Kluyveromyces lactis: one gene and its partner. The protein of the gene in region 1 purifies or fractionates together with the protein of each later gene. This does not show direct contact. Links are inferred from orthologs where the notes say so. Each region holds a gene or a part of one and is shown on either strand. Other genes may lie near its edges. The genes, in order: RSC58 and RSC9.

What was found.
Region 2: the proteins of RSC58 (region 1) and RSC9 purify together in Saccharomyces cerevisiae (affinity purification with mass spectrometry, with the first as the bait; 5 studies listed by BioGRID). This does not show direct contact. The link is inferred for Kluyveromyces lactis from reciprocal best matches to the Saccharomyces cerevisiae genes RSC58 and RSC9.

What each region holds. Positions count from the first base shown.
Region 1 is NC_006042.1:1,593,390-1,597,286, forward strand, and holds RSC58 (Rsc58p), read right to left. Parts: upstream 2,376-3,897; coding exon 2,320-2,375; intron 2,101-2,319; coding exon 648-2,100; downstream 1-647. Other genes in the region: putative divalent metal ion transporter SMF3, read left to right, coding at 1-319; ATP-dependent RNA helicase ECM16, read right to left, coding at 2,692-3,897. UniProt on the Saccharomyces cerevisiae protein: Component of the chromatin structure-remodeling complex (RSC), which is involved in transcription regulation and nucleosome positioning. RSC is responsible for the transfer of a histone octamer from a nucleosome core particle to naked DNA.
Region 2 is NC_006040.1:880,670-884,675, reverse strand, and holds RSC9 (Rsc9p), read right to left. Parts: upstream 2,528-4,006; coding exon 833-2,527; downstream 1-832. Other genes in the region: RPM2 (ribonuclease P), read left to right, coding at 1-499; double-strand break repair enhancer MSC1, read left to right, coding at 3,770-4,006.

The DNA of each region.
Region 1 (3,897 bases):
TTTCTTGGGAGAAAAGGGGGTATCTAGTATTCTAAACTTGAGTCAAGTGGTTCTCTCATTGATTTTACCAATCGTTTCTGCTCCTTTGATTTACTTCACTATGAATCATAAAATTATGACCGTTGTGGATGTGGATTCTGCACCCGCATCTGCAGACAGTACTGAAGAAAGTAGATTATTATCGAAAGGCGTTAAGTCCATTGACTACACCAATGGAAGACTGTTGAGCATCAGTTCATTTGTTATATGGTTGACAATTGGTTCATTGAATTGTTATCTTGTATTTTCATACCTCATGGGAGCGGACGTGCATTTTTAAGTCTAAGTAGGCATTTTATATAGTTTTGATGGATTCTGTTTAATCTATAATCAATTCGTAAATTGTACTTATTGGATCTGCTTTGTTGATCTCTTCTCTTGTACCTTTGTTGTGGTTAATTTCTTTGTTCTTTATATAATCTTTAATTGTTCTTGGACATTTACCTTCGAAAGTAATTGAGGAAGTAAAAAAATCGAAACACTGATGGTTTCAGAAAATAACTCCAAATAATAGTAACCGTTAGCTATCACTGATAATAAACTAGCCCCACAGATTATTGCACACTACCACAGCTGCGATTTATAGATTCTATACGGAAATATCTACTTCACTGCATAACTTTCTTACTTTTCTTTTTTCTAGTCGATATGGTCTTGACGACAGGAACTGATCCGGCATAATTAGTCTGAAGGACTGGGAAATGTTTCTCGTGCAATTTTGGAGATGTCACAATCTGTTTAGAAAGTAGAGCTTCTTTCAAGATGTTCTGTGCTCTATGATAAAGGGAAACTTCCTCACTTGTTGGTTTTGATATCTTGTTCAGCTTGACCCTTCTCGATTTACATGCCTTTAGCTTTAGCAATATCTCTGTCAATAACCTTTGCTGTTCACCTTGCTCAAAAGCCGTTATATCTTCATCATGTATCTCATGGCTAGGTTGCCAGTCATAAAGATTTTTCAAATTAATATTGACAGGTCCAGCTGGCTCCGTTGTCACTATTACTTCATCTCCCTCCTCATTTGTATCTTGCTCTTCATCCGTGGCAACATTCTGCTCTTCATCATTTTCATTTGATTCCTTTTTTTGGTTGTCAGATCCGATACTGTCATTTGCTTCCTCAACCTTTTGATCTTCAATACCCTCATCCTTTATTTTTTCATCTTCAACATTTTTATCTTCTGCTTCCGCAGCCCCTCTCTTCTTCGATTCTATTTCTAACCAGCTTTTGTATCCGACCTTTTCCAACCATATGTCTCCTTTACGGGAACAATCTGTTACAGACTTGAACTCCGAGATACTCGGAGCAAAAGATTGATAGTCGCCATACTCCAACCATTTAGTAGTGGGTAGCGGGTACCAATTCGGATGCAGAAAGGAGGTCATGATTTCTGTAGGAGAAATTGTTGGATCAGGAACATTGGAAGTGTTAGCTGCTACGAATCCCAATCTATTGGCTGGTTGGGATGTTGCTTGAGGAATAATTTTCACAATTTCACATTCCTCGTATGGTACTTCCTTTGGCCTCTGATCAAGTACTGACCTCGTTATCACCGAACTGAACAAATGTCCCTCCTTTGTCTGCGTATGGTAAGTTTCAGTAACGGGGAGCTGATAAACTTGACTAATTTTAAGGAAATCATTGGAAATGGTTTTTGAAAAATCACTTTCTTTGAAGTCAATGTCTGCCGCGAAGTCTCCCACCAGTTTGGCTCCAACTCTATAACATTCCCTTAGAATCAATTCTGCTGCAAATTTGTAGAATTTGTCGACCATTTGGTACGACCTCGTTCCTTGAGAGTAGTAGTGAATTAAAATGGAGCATACTAATTTAATATCATGGTAAATCCGATAAACAGAATCTTCATGCTTCTGGTAATCTCCACTAGCAAATTTATCAGATATGGAAATTGAATCAATATCTTCTGCTATTTTGATATCTGGATTTTCATCAAACTTGGCCCTTAGAAACTTCACGTAAGAATCGTATATGTGTGTTGGATCAGGCTCGTAGAATTCTTTAGGAAACCTTTCATCTAAAGCTCTGCATTTCGAAGATGCACTAATTAAATCAAAATAAAATTAATACTGTTAGTATTTGATTGTAAAATAAAATCATGCTTTGGCAAATCTAACACTGAAAACATAAAATAAAGACTTGAGGAACCCCAGGTCATCGTATGCTGGTCTTTAATTTATTATTATCACCGATTCTAGACAAAAACATGTGCGAATGCAACATAATTCGAATGAAAAATGTGTTGTTTTTATATTCACATACCCTTTTAAAACAGTTAGTAAGTTCTGAAAAAAATTCTCTTTTAGCAGCTCTACCATTGTTTACTTATTTTTAGCCCACTATAAAAGAGTTTGCAGACCTTGTACTCTCTCACTGCCCATCAGTTTGTCATTCAGCAGTAATGTAAGAAGCCTTTATTGATCAACCTGCGCCAAAACCTGTGTTTTCATTATGAAAAACATCAAAACCGTACATCATGATCCAACTGGCATCCATTGACAGCTTTTACAGAGATTCCTGTCACAGCAACAGTACCCAGTCATAGCCTAACAAGCTAGGTATTGGCCTTTAATTATTCCAATGCAATTGGTATTATATGAGTTAATTAATTCTATAAATTGTACTGGTGTAGTTCTAGGGTCTTTTCGAAGCTTGATAGTTTTTAAATGCTTTTGGAGTAAGGAATTTCTTGACCGTCCATACACCTTTCTCTTTCTCTTGATGAACAGGGATAGGATTGAGTTCCCAACCAATCTTGATGTCGCTATCATTGCAAGATCCAAATCTAGGAACAACATAGCAGAATCTTTCTGTTGGCGATAAATCAATAGGTTTCAAACCTTGTCCAGTGATTGGTTTTCCGTAAGTGAGTAACGAGCCCTTTCTTGCAACGTTAGCCAATGGCGTGCTTTTAATGTCACAAAGAGACTTCATCCTTGTTTTCGCCTTTTCATTATTTTTATTGACATGTAGTGATTGGAAAACCAAGTATTTCGGAGGTTGCTCGCCAGAATTGTTGAGAATTGAGGTTGGATGAATATAAACAAAGATATCATCCAAAGAAGATGTTTTCTCAGCAAGGACTGGAACATAAGGGATATTGAAAATGTTGGTTTTGTTGATAGTAACGTCTTCCGGGAATAACTGGTCTGCGCGAACGGCCACCTGGTCGATAAATCCTGCTGTGATCATTTGCTTGAGTAATTTGATTTGAACATCGGTGGGGATCGAGCTCTTCAAGTCTTCGTCTTTAACATTTACAGCTACATTTTCTCTCGAAGTAACTGACCTGATGATGAACATCACCTGCTTTCTCAACTTCATAATCTCCTCTACGGTTTTTGCCCTTAAGAAATTTTTTTCCATGAAAGAACTGTGCTGATCCTTTGGAATGAAATCCAACGCAGATACTGCACTTAAAAGACGGAAAACATCACTGAATTTATCAAGCTTACTAAATCTAATTTTGCTTTTAACATACTTGGAGCGCAATAGCCTTTTTCTTTCCTCAGCTTCGTGATCAGGATAGTCATCTAATTGTCCTTCATCTTGTGTCTTGGGCACAGTATCCATGATACCAAGCTCTTGTTCAGATAAAAACGGCTCACCTACTGAAAGGGCACTGACAATGGTAACAACATATTTCAAACAGTCGCTTTCATTACCAACAAGCAGCATTTTAGAAAATCTTGGACTTAGCGGAAACAAACTCATTGCTTTACCATCATCAGTGATTCTTTCATTACTGTCGAGTGCACCTAGGTGTTGTAAGAGCTTTATTGACTTCATCAAAGCTGGTCTTTCGGGTGGGGTAGGGAATGGAAAATTCACAATATTATG
Region 2 (4,006 bases), on another chromosome or scaffold:
CCACAATATGATTCACTGTTACGAAAGCATGACCAAAGGAAAGGAATTTTCACAAGACTTGAAGTTGAACTTTGGCATTAAGATGGAAATTACCCAACAAATTCTCAACAATATTGAAGATTCTATGCAATTTCTTGATTTAAATGATACTTCTATTATAGAGAACTATTACTCCAAACTCGAAAACTACATGAGATTCAGGGGTTATCTTAAAACAATAACTTTCACCGAAGACCAAATGTTGCAGTTGCTCAATATATGGCAAAAAATTAACCCAATTTTGGTTGACAATTTGTTCAACAACATCGTCGAATCAGTATGTTTGAACAACGCTGTAAAGGTTATAAACTTCAATGATAATGGTTCTTTTAACGTTAGCAAGACCTCGCTAATGGTACTTTTAGATTCCATTTCTGCCATTTACAAATCTGAAGGCTTATCTGATCATCATTCTAAAGTGGAGAGTTTCAAAGATATTATAGATTCTTCCATGCACTAAACAACTTTCTGCTGATGTTACCTTATTCTTACTATACTTCTATCATACTTTCCATGAACAATCTGTCTCATGAAGAAAGTTTTATTTATTTATTATTTGATGAGTTTTACGATTATTATGACAAAAATGGGTTTACGCTGATCCATTCGATACAAAATTCTGATATTGTCAGAATTGCTATCATCTATTTTTTATTTTGTTTCACCATTTTTAATTCAATTTTATACATTAGTTAGGTCTCCCGTTGTTTAATTTTTACCTTTAATCGATACGTTATACATTTAATTATTACAAAACTACAACTTTAATTACTCTATCGGCCTAACGGTAAGTTCAACCTGAATGTATGAAGTCCAAAAGAACAGTATTTAAAGGTGGCACGTCAGCAATTTGATGTAATATCAAAGGTTTCATATCATGAATAAATTGTGCCACGATCTCGGTACTATCGTTAGAAACAAGTGAAAGGAATGACGCACTTGCTTTAGATACATCAGAAAGATTCTCGGGGAAAACAATATCTGGCAAACAAATTTGAACTGCTTCCGATGGAGTATTGTTGCTTTCAAATTCATCCGGGGTTTCAGTCTGTATAGGCGAGGACTGGTCAATATCTTTATTTGCCTCTACGATTGAAAGAGCTTTTCTGCGAGGCTGTATACCTCTTATTACAAATTTTTTCTTCGACGTTGCTTCATCTACAACTACCAAAGCGGATGCACCGGGCAAAGCATTCGAAACATTTTTAATGAAATCAACGGCAGTTATCAATTTTCGATCTGTTAGTTTTACTTGTTCGCTGAATGTTTGTTCATAAGTTTTCCATAGAAGAATCTGTGTTACTTCGCCATTCAGAGATCTCTCAAAGCAGCATCTCAACCAGGAAGTGGCACGCATTGGTTCGTTTAGCTCAAATAATTCCTTGAGCAGTGGCATTGGCAATTCAGGCGCGTGTGCTGGTGGTTGAGGTTTTACCCTCTGTATAAGTTTGATATTAGTATTCGAAAGGGCATGATAATCAGGGGTTGATACATGATACGTGAGGAGAACAGGGAGAGTACTAACTAGGATATCATATCTTTCCTTATGTGATAGTAATGTCTTTATTCTCTGATGACCAGGTAATATATATTGATAAAGGAAATCTAATGAAGCAATTATTAACTCTTCATCCCTATCAATTAAAAGGTTATGAACAATCTTGTTCAACAAACTATCATCCAAATTATCTGCTGCACTCTTTTGGTCCGATTTAGATCTCACCAAGAGTCTAGATAATGATCTCAAAATTGAGATCACGCAGTATCTATCCTTTGTATCACGAAATATCAAACAGAGGTTTTGGAAATATAGATCGTCTTTTTTTGCTGGTGCAATATAAGATGAAATCGCCTCCATTAAATCAAGAGTATAGATTAACAATTCGTTGAAACTGGATGTATGTGACTGATAGATTGCCGAATCCTTCGAATTGAACGTATTTGCCCACTCCAACACGAACAATATGAACGATTTCAATTCCATATCGGTGGCTAATATCGAAGTGTTTTCCGAGTCCTGTGCCAAATTTCTCAAAAGAAGCATTGTAATTGAACCTTTTTGTAGGGCTTCAAAAGCCTGATTGGAAATTGGGCCAACAAGCTGTGGAATGTATTCTCTGCATGCTGTAATCAAGGGCATAATAATGGGCAACAAATCCAAATTCTCATTCAATTTGATAACATAAGAAGCGTTAATGCTATACCGTAAATATCTTTTCAATGCAAATTTAACTTCTTCGTCTATTCCACTTAACAATGCCATCTTCATACGGGTGAGATCATCAACACCAATCTTAGAGTTTACAGGCAAATGATTGAAGATAGGCAAACTGCCTAATGATTGTTGCAACCCAGCAACAGGCTTAGCGGTAATACCATTGGTCTGGTCTCTGCTAATATTTAATTGTGTTGCGGGCAATGTCTTCAAGCTTGGAATCGCTGTTTCTCCTTCAGCATTGATCACCGGAGTGACTGAATGGCTGGACATCTATTGATTTGTGAAGCACTAGGTATCACACAAAACTAGAAAAAAGCGAGTCTCCGAAAGAAGGTGTGTTTAAGGTATCTAGATCGCCGATATAGGTACAAAGAAAGTAAGCTCCATCTAATTAGTCGCGTTTTCCTTTTCTGTCATTGTACATATTAAGAAGTCCATCTCGAATCTTTCGTTGTTTTGCATGTTGTTGAATTTCGAGTTCAATAATACGGCTTATATCCGGGTAAATGATTACATAAATGCTCTCCGTACATAGTAACAAGGACAGATTAAAGACTATATGCTGTTGCTTAGTGATTCTAATCATAGTTCTGACAGTTAGGTTTATCCTCTTTATGAACACTGACTATCCCCTCTGTGACAGCCTAAGTCCTTTTCAAATGGTTATGGGAACAACGAGTTTAAATTCACCTCCCTGGCAATTGACGTTGATCATGTGACCGAAAAGTGGTAATTCCACGCTAAGGAACGGATCATCAACCGATGATTCAGTGTAATCTCAACATCAAATCGACTCAAACGACCCATTGATTCTCTTCCTTCTTTTCCATTTCTGCCCTGATTCAAACACATTCTAATTACCTAATTAGTTTCCTAGACCCTAACTCCCCCAGAGTTATCACTCTCAGTGATCTGATCTGATTACTTACTCATACATACATCAAAGCAAATTCCACACATCACGGCGTCCGGAAGAATTTTTACCTTAAGGCACAATACAAATGGTGGCATTGCCATCTGCAATTTTAAGACACAGTCGTCCTTTTGCATCGTTTCTTGCTGCCATTAGCAAACCGCAAAAGTCATTTCTTTAACATTAGCAAAAAGACGTCTTTAGAATCCAAAAAATAAGGGAAAAAGGTAACGGGTTAGCGAACATCATAACTGACGCTATTGTGAGCTTGGCTAGACCATGCGTGAGTATATCCATGTCACCCTACCCCTTATTATAAGTGTGTAGAGCTATTATTTGGAACTAAGTGTGGCCATCGATTTTTACAACTTAGTGTGATGCATTGTCACTGTCAACTAGAAGTTTGTTCTGGCAATTCCCATTCTATATATATATATATATATATATATATATCAACAAACGTGGAACACTTTCTCTTGCTTAACAACTGGCATTTTTAGGCTTAGGTATATTTGTATAGGATATCATTTAAAGTGTCTGTTATTAATAAGATTTATTGACATAGCTTATTACACAGAATAACAATATTAATACGCAGGATGAAGCTTAGTAGTGCTTTGATATTTTGTGCAGCTGCTTGCCAAGTAGTTATTTGCAACAATCTATTTGAAAATTGGTCTAGTCAAGACATTATTCAATATTTGAAGGACACTGGTGACTCTGCTAAAAAGGATGCAGACACTTCACTTGAAGAATTGAAGGCTTACGCTAGTCAGAAATGGTCTGAGCATGCGCAACCAAAACCGTGGTGGAAAGTCTGGCCGGATGAAAGGGAT